2 linked regions of the Sus scrofa genome follow. The protein of the gene in region 1 purifies or fractionates together with the protein of each later gene. This does not show direct contact. Links are inferred from orthologs where the notes say so. Each region holds a gene or a part of one and is shown in the gene's direction. Other genes may lie near its edges.

Region 1 (4,059 bases):
TGGTTTTTTAAAAAGGAATTACCAGAGTTCCCATTGTAGGTCAGCAGTTCCGAACCCAACTAGTAACCATGAGGATGCGGGTTCAATCCCTGGCCTCGCTCAGTGGGTTAAGGATCCAGCGTAGCCATGAAATATGGTATAGGTCGCAGGCGCAGCCCGACTGCTGCGTTCCTGTGGCTGTGGTGTGGGCTGGCACCTGTAGCTCCGATTGGACCCCCTCGCCTGAGAAATTGCATATGCCATGGGTGCACCCCTAAAAAACAAACAAAAAAATTACCAGGTGCTGATATAAGACATGGATAATGCCTCCTCGTGGATCCTAGTCAGATTCGTTTCCACTTCTCCGTGATGGGAACTCTGATATCCACATTTTTTATATTCTCTTGCACTATGGTTTATTATAGGATAGTGCGTATAGTTCCCTGTGCTACGCAGTAGCACTTTGTTGTTTCTCTCTTTTATATGCAGTAGTTTGTACTCGTTAATCCTAGGCTCTTACTCCTCTTCCCCTTTGGTAACCATTACTTTTCTATGTCTCTGAGTCTGTTTCTGTTTCGTAAATAAGTTCATTTGTGTTATTTTTTAGGTTCCACATGTAAGTGATGGTGTATTTGTGTTCCTCTTTCGGATTCAGTTCACTTAGTCTGATCATCTCTGGCTCCATCCATATTGGTTTAGTGTTATTTTTCAGTGTTTTTTCCTACAAACTGCTTCAAATCCTTTTTTGGGAAAAGAGTAAAGGTAGAGGTGTATCCATAGAAGATTGATTGGTGACAGGACCTGGATGAGGACAGGGAACATTAGGGGGAAACATAGAATCCCCCAAAAAAGGAAGAGGAAGAGAGGGTCGGGGGCGAGAAGAACACCAAGTGAGTGTCAGAGAAGAGGAGGAAAAGCCTTCGCACACTGCTTGGTGCAGGAGACGGGAAGGGAGGGTCCCACACAGGCCCTCTGCCTTCCCCCCTGCGTCTGGCCCAGGGCCTGGTCTGAATAGGCCTGGCCAGAAAAGCGAATGCTCTTGAGCTCTGGTCTCTCTCTGCTCCTGATCCCGCAGGTTTGGGCCCTACTACACTGAGCCGGTCATCGCCGGGTTGGACCCCAAGACCTTTAAGCCCTTCATTTGCTCTCTAGACCTTATCGGCTGCCCCATGGTGACTGATGACTTTGTGGTCAGTGGCACCTGCACGGAACAAATGTACGGGATGTGTGAGTCCCTCTGGGAACCCGACATGGTGAGTTGGCGGCATGGAGTGGGGCGGGGTTCTGAGGGGCCCGCCCCTCGGCCATCAGGGGAAGGTGGGTTTACCTGGCAGGTAATGGGGAGAAGGATGCGGGTAGGAGAGAAAGCCAAGCTGCTGAGCCTGGGAAGAGTGTCCAGAACAATCTGCCAGGGCCTTGGTGTGGGCCCTCAGTCAGATATTTGCCATAACAGCTCATTCTCACATTTGGCTTACAGAGTTCTTCCGTTCATTCAACAAACTTTTTTTTTTTTTCTGCTTTTTGCTTTTTAGGGCCGCACCCGTGGCATATGGAGGTTCTCAGGCTAGGGATCCAATTGGCGCTGCAGCTGCCAGCCTACACCACAACAATGCAGGATCCAAGCCACGTCTTCAACCTGTGCCACAGGTCACGGCAACACCAGATCCTTAACCCACTGAGCAAGGCCAGGGATCAAACCCGCAACCTCATGGTTCCTAGTCAGATTTGTTTCCACTGCGCCACAGCAGGAGCTCCCCATTCAGCAAGCATTTAACAGGGTGTAGGGTTAAGGACAGCTCAGCAGAATGGGCTCTGGAACCAGGTTTTCTGGGTTGGAAACCCACTTCCACCTACCACTTAATTGGTTATGTTCTCGGGGAGTCACCTGACGTCCGTGCGCCTCCAGTCCCTCAGCCGTAGAGTGGGGGTGACACCAGAACCGACCTCATGAGCGGTGGTGTGAGGAAATCGCAGGGAGAGATTGGAACAGAGCCTGACAGTGAGCGCTGGCCACTGTGCCAGCTCTGCTAGGCTCTGGGGAAACCAGATAGTCTGTCTTCAAGGATTTATTGCAGCCTAATGAAGCAAGACAAACACCCAGATACCTGTTAAAGTGAAGTTTGCCAGGAAAAAGAGGAAAGAAAGGGCCCGGTTGGCCGAAGGAACGGCCTGTGCAAAGGTGCGAGAAGGGCCAAGTGTGTTCAGTGATGGAAAGAGCTTGCTGTGGCTGCTGGAGGGTGGGCAGAGGCGGGTGAGAGGAAGGCAGGGCGTGAGCTCAGGAAGAGACCTGAAATGCCTGGAAGGCCGTGAGCAGCAGTTTGAACCTTTTCTTTTGGCATCATGTCAAAGGCTGTAAGAAACCTGAGGAACCAGAGGCCCGCGGGAGGCGCTGAGGTCCTGAGCAAAGAGAGTAGCAGGTGCGGAGCAGGGCAGCCAGGTCTAGAGGACTCAATCACCTAAAATAGAAATGAGGAAAGTGAGAGTTCCCTTGGTGGTTCAGTGGGTTAAGAACCTGACATAGTGTCCGTGAAGATGCAGGTTCGATCCCTGGCCTTGCTTAGTGGGTTAAGAATCCGGCATTGCTGCAGGCTGTAGCATAGGTCCCAGACGCGGTTTGGATCTGAAGGCCCGCAGCTGCAGCTCTGTCTCCACTCCTAGCCTGGGAATGTCTATACGCCGAGGTGTGGCTGTAAAAAGAAAAAAAAAAAAAGAAAGAAATGAAGGAGGCAGAGATACTGAGGACACTTGAGTTTTCTAGCTAGGCCAATGAAGATAGAGGATATAGGAGAAGAAACAGGTTTGGGAGGAAATAGGTTCATGGTTGGACAGGTTGGATTTCGAGGTACCTCTGGGCCACCCAGGAGGAGAGTCCATCAGACTCATGGGGGGTGGGGGTGGGGTGTCTTTTTTTTTTTGGCTTTTTAGGACCGAACCCGTGGCATATGGAGGTTCCCAGGCCAGGGGTCTAATTCAGAGCTGCAGCTGCCAGCCTACATCACAGACACAGCAACAGGGGATCTGAGCCTTGTCTGTGACCTACACCACAGCCTCACAGCAATACCAGATCCCTAACCCACTGAGCAAGGCTAGGGATCCATCCTGCATCCCCATGGTTACTAGTCAGATTCATTTCCGCTGAGCCACAACAGGAACTCCCTTCTCTCCATTTTATAGAAGAGGGATTGAGGCTTACGGAAGGGACATGCGACTTGCTCAAGGTCACGCTGCTGGTTAGTGTAGGAAGTTCGGGGCTTGAATTTCACCTTTTATAACCCTGCTTCCCTCTTGAGAAGGAGCTGAGGGGGCTTCTCACATCCAAGGAACCATCCCTCACTCCAGGCCTGGGAGGGGCCAGAGCCAGGCACCCTGAGCCTAGAGAAGAGAGTCCTGCGGAGCCAGACCAAATCAGGGTCCGAGGCTCCGGGGATTAAAGGGCTTCCGCTCTATTGGCAGGATCCAGAGCACCTGTTTGAAACCATCTCCCAAGCCATGCTGAACGCCGTGGACAGGGACGCGGTGTCGGGCATGGGCGTCATCGTCCACGTCATGTGAGTATGCGCTGGGAGACTCCGGAAGCCTTGCAGACGCCCGCCTCTCCCCTCCTGCACGAACACCCCATCGGGTGGGAAATGAGGCACTTGCAGCAGGCCCGTGACAGCTGAAAGGCCCGCTTCCTGAGGGCGGCCGCTGGGAGCCTACCCCGATTCCTGGCCTCCGTCCAGAGAGGGCTCCATGACCCCGAGTCTCCTCCCCTTGCTCACAGGAGACATTTCTTTCCTTCCTGAACAGTGTCCCCAAAGTCTCAGGGACTTGGTGTAGGGATGAGCCACAGCAGGGTTACTGCAGATTGATCGAAATAACGCCTGCGTGGCTCCTCTCCCCTCTCAACTGAAGCCAGCATGGAACCCCCAGCCGCGTGGTGTACTGCGCTCTGGGGACAGTTTCCAGCCCCCAGCCCGATGCCTGACTGCCTCCCCTTCTCCCTCTTACTTGTGCGGGGCTCTCACCAGGCACCTGACTTGCAGGGCCCAAGGTATCCTCCCGACAGCTTTCCTGGGGACCAGCCCAGAATAAGCACCT
Region 2 (4,488 bases), on another chromosome or scaffold:
TAAACTTGACCCCGCGCCAGTACCGGGGCCGCTGAGGACTGAGAAGGTTGCGGCCATATTTCTCCAGGATGTTCAGGGCCGTGGAGAGGGTGCTGAGGTAGTTTCGGGGCTGAGAGCAGTCAGAGAGCAGAGAGCTGTGAGCCCCGACCGGACCTCTGCTCCCCTGTCCCCCTCCTAGGCGGGGCTGGGCCTCACCTCCCCATGAGCGTTGCAGCGGACCAGGCGTGCAGCGTTCAGCTGCAAGTAGCGGGCTGCTGGCGGCAGAGAGGTGACCAGTAGTGGCCGAAGCTGCTCCACCGAAAACGCCTGCCCGGAATCCCTCCTCAGGGCGTTCGCCAGCTCCTCGCGGGCCTCCAGGAAGGCTCGCTCCTCCTCCTCCCTAGGCATCCTAAGACAGGAGTCTGCCCCAGTCCGCTGCCCGCCGGAACCCAGAGCAGGTTGGGCGCGGCCCGAGAGCCGCCCCGAGCACCTGGGGTCTGGCTTCGCGGAGCGACACGGTCGGCACGGGAACCCTAAGTCACTCAGGCCACGGTCACTCTTGGGCCTCGGGCCCCACGCCAGGATTAGCGGGAACAGGAAGTACTAGGGAAGAGGGCGGGATTGCGACCCAGTTTCAGGGGAAGGGGAGGGGTTTAAACTTAAGGAGGGGCGGGGCCCAGGAGACCGGGGCGTGGCCAACAAGCCTCAGCCAATGAGAATGGTAAATAGTCACTGGCTCCTCCCTCAGAGCTTCTAGGCTTTAAACCTTGTTCTAGCGCTCTTCCCTACCTTGGTCCAGTCCGGTGCCAACCCCTGTGTATAGCCCCAGGTTCGGTGTTATTTTATTTCCCTCAAAGCCCTTCTCTCTACCCGAACCCCACAGGGGAAATCCCACTCAGGAACTCAACTCTGCCAGCCTGAACCCTACACAAGTCCCTTTTCCAGTCGGTCTTGAAGACAGGGCGTCCTCCGGGAGGAAGACCCGCCTGTTCCCTTCCATATCCTGCTATCCCTTCTCCCGCCTACTACTTCTCCTACCCGACTCTGATCTCTCTCAGGCCCCTCCCCTCAGTCGAGCCTTCCTAGGGGAGCCCCACCACTAAACACCCCCTTTCCCACTCTTCCACCCTCTCACCCCAAACCTGGACATCCCCTTGATGTTCTTCCCCCCCATAAGCCCCGCCCCTTCTCCAAGGGACAGCCCCTGTTCAGTCTCCGCGGTCCAACTTGTCCTAGCCCCTCCCCTGGACAGCCCCTGGGCTTGTGACCAAGTCAGCACCGCCTCTCCTAGTCGCACAGGCCGAGAATGGCAGAGGGGCTCCCAACAGTTTGCTGCCTTCCAGGGGGAGGGGGAAAAGAAGGAAGGGGGCGGGGTTGAGGGGGGCGGGCCTGGACGTGGGGAGTGAAAGCGAAAGCCCAGGCTGCGAGCGGGGAGACCGGAGATCTAGCAGCAACTGGAGCAGCATGGCCAAGCCTTGTGGGGTGCGCCTGAGCGGGGAAGCCCGCAAACAGGTATGGGGAACCGGGAGGCCAGGAAGGGTCCAAAAGCCCTCCCGAATGGAAGCCAAACTGGGTGCTCCAGGGGACCAAGGCCGTGCCAGAGAAATCCCCCAACCTCCCTAAGTGCTTTCACTTCTGTCCCGAGAGTCCCAGATTCCTGCCCTCTGAGCAGTCTCTACCTTGGGCAGGGGCTTCCAGGGAAATGTGGCTTGTAGTGGGAAAGGCCTGAGCCAAGTTGGAGGGCATCCTGTTGGGGGTGGGGTCTTACTGTGGGCAAGTGAGACCCTTAACCAACATCCGGGTACTGCTCTCTCTGCAGGTGGATGTCTTCAGGCAAAATCTTTTCCAGGAGGTAAGTCTTCTGGATTCAAGTGATTTGACGCAGAATCTCAGACCAATTCCTGAGCATTGCAACTTCCCAGACCCCTAAACCCACCCTCGACCCAGGCCCTACTTCCCTTATCAACCTTCACCCAAGATAAGCTCCTAGTTACTAATCTCTTCTTTTACTTTGACCCCTCTTAATACCTTCCCCACTTATGCCACTTCCTCTCCCATCTTTCGGTGTGAAGGGAAAAGCTGTAGCCCCAAAGCGGGAATACCACAGTTCTAACCTTGGTTCTACCACTTCCCAGCTTGCTCCCTTCACTTTTCAGGGATTCAGTTTCCTCATTTGTAAGTATTGGATTCAAAGATTTCCAAGGGCCCTTCCAGTCCCACTCCTCAGACTTCTCACTGAGTGTCTTCTGTGATTCTTACCCTTGAAACATAACCCGCAGGCTGAGGAATTCCTCTACAGATTTTTGCCTCAGAAAATCATATACCTGAGTCAGCTCTTGCAAGTGAGTAGAGTGAACCTCTTCTGTCCCAACCCATGGCCCCTCTCCTCTCCATCCACTCTCTCTAGCTAACAGCTGGGCTCCAACTGCAGAGAAGAGTTGCGAGTAGTGGACTGGGAACATTAGGATAGTGCCAAGCCTCAGCCTAGGTTGGGAGGAGGAGGGTGGGTACGATGTGTGTGGGGGAAGGCTGTGACTCAGGAGGACGGGAAGAGGCTGGGCAGTCCCTGACAGTGAGCTCTGTGCAGGAGGACTCCCTCAACGTGACCGACCTCACTTCTCTCCGGGCCCCGCTGGACATCCCCATCCCAGACCCCCCACCCAAGGATGATGAGGTGAGGCACTTAGGGCATAGGGCTTGGGCTATAAATCCACTGTACATAATGGTCTGCCAACCTCCATGACTTTTCTAAAGTTTCTTCCCCCCTTTTCTCCTTAGATGGAAACAGATAAGCAGGAGAAGAAAGAAGGTAAGAGGGGAAGGGGGGAGGTTAGGGAAAGAGAAATGGCACACTGATTGCTGGATGTGAAGGGATCTAAATCTCCTCTTTCTCACAGTCCCTAAGTGTGGCTTTCTCCCTGGGAACGAGAAGATCCTGGCCTTGCTTGGCCTGGTTAAGCCAGAAGTCTGGACTCTCAAAGAAAAATGCATTCTGGTAAGCTTGGGAAACTGGGGGACATAGAAAGAGAAGACAAGCAAGGCCATGCCTTGATCTCCTTCAGAGTTCCAAGTCCTTCCTTTAGGAACCTATTCTCAAAATAGGGAGCTTCCTTCTGTGCCTTGTGTTTAGATAACTTTTGCTCTCCTTGTTCTGCTAGACCTCTGATATTACAGTGGTACCCTCTAAATCAAACTGTGTTGCATCCCCCTCCATAACCTCAGAACCTACTGCTGTAGCAGGTACACAGTGCAGGTGCTCTGATACAGTGAGTTGGTTTAAGAGCTTGGACCCTAGAGGGAGACTGCCTTCATTCGAATCCTGACTCTATCACTTACCTAATTGGTTACCTTAAGTAAGTCACTTAGACATTCTGTGACTCAGCATTTTCATCTGTTTAAATGGGTACAAGCCTGAAAGGTTGCCGTGAAGATTAAATGAGATATATAATACATAGCACAGTGCCTGTCAAATAATAAGTACTCAGTTAAATGTAGCTATTTTTAGGAAGTAACCGTACTAAGAACAGAATTTTGTTGAATGATTCTTACATGATAGCTCTTATTGTAGGTGATCACATGGATCCAGCACCTGATCCCCAAAATTGAGGATGGAAATGACTTTGGGGTGGCAGTCCAGGTGAGAAAGGGTCTGTGAGGATGCTGAGAGCAGGAAGAGTCTTGGGGAGTAAGGGATAGAGACTAGATATGAACTGCGAGGAGGAGGTAGACAGTGAGTGAAAAAGGGACAAGATGAAGTGTTTTCTTTGCCTCCCATCTCTTTTGTCACCACAGGAAAAGGTGCTGGAGAGGGTAAATGCAGTCAAGACCAAAGTAGAAGCCTTCCAGACCACCATTTCCAAGTGAGGGCAGCTGGAGGGCCAGCACAGGGGTCTGCAAGGACATTCTGTGGGGACTCCCAAAGCGGGACATGCCCATCGGGATAATGGGGGGCCTTGGGAAGGGTCTGAGGGACTATCTCTCTCTGAACACCCACTCCTATGGTTACTCCCCTTGCTTTCGGCAGGTACTTCTCAGAACGTGGGGATGCTGTGGCCAAGGCCTCCAAGGAGACCCATGTAGTGAGTGGATAGTCCACCAGCCTGTTATTGGAGACTGGCTGGGGGTGGGATGAGGAAGAGGGCACAATGGTCCTCCTTGTTTTGTCTGTGACCTTCCCAATGTGGAGAATATTAAGCCAAAACCATTGCCCCAAACTTGGGCTTCAAAAACTTTACCTCCTTTCTCTGCTGGATCTTGTGGGATCCCATTTCCTGGTGCTGAGAAGGGGCTCATTCCTCAAGTTACCTATTCCCTATATGAGGAAACCAGATGAATGTCCCAACCTCCCATGGGGCTGACTCAGCTTTGCCTCCCACATCCCAGATGGATTACCGGGCCCTGGTGCACGAACGAGATGAGGCAGCCCATGGGGAGCTCAGGGCCATGGTGCTGGACCTGAGGGCCTTCTATGTGAGTCTGGAGTAAGCCCCTAAGGGAGGTGGATGAGGG

What was found. Proteins that work in one complex are often made in the same cells at the same time.
Region 2: the proteins of PSMB3 (region 1) and PSME2 purify together in Homo sapiens (affinity purification with mass spectrometry; 3 studies listed by BioGRID and IntAct, counting the BioPlex papers as one, with this or other methods). This does not show direct contact. The link is inferred for Sus scrofa from reciprocal best matches to the Homo sapiens genes PSMB3 and PSME2.

The regions. Positions count from the first base shown.
Region 1 is NC_010454.4:23,347,445-23,351,503, reverse strand, and holds part of PSMB3 (proteasome subunit beta type-3), read left to right. Parts: intron 1-1,054; coding exon 1,055-1,232; intron 1,233-3,432; coding exon 3,433-3,527; intron 3,528-4,059. UniProt on the Homo sapiens protein: Non-catalytic component of the 20S core proteasome complex involved in the proteolytic degradation of most intracellular proteins. This complex plays numerous essential roles within the cell by associating with different regulatory particles.
Region 2 is NC_010449.5:75,153,206-75,157,693, forward strand, and holds the start of PSME2 (proteasome activator complex subunit 2), read left to right. Parts: upstream 1-1,364; 5' UTR 1,365-1,443; coding exon 1,444-1,491; intron 1,492-1,798; coding exon 1,799-1,831; intron 1,832-2,258; coding exon of another isoform or gene 2,259-2,321; intron 2,322-2,566; coding exon 2,567-2,653; intron 2,654-2,757; coding exon 2,758-2,788; intron 2,789-2,876; coding exon 2,877-2,974; intron 2,975-3,547; coding exon 3,548-3,616; intron 3,617-3,771; coding exon 3,772-3,839; intron 3,840-4,003; coding exon 4,004-4,058; intron 4,059-4,362; coding exon 4,363-4,449; intron 4,450-4,488. UniProt on the Homo sapiens protein: Implicated in immunoproteasome assembly and required for efficient antigen processing. The PA28 activator complex enhances the generation of class I binding peptides by altering the cleavage pattern of the proteasome.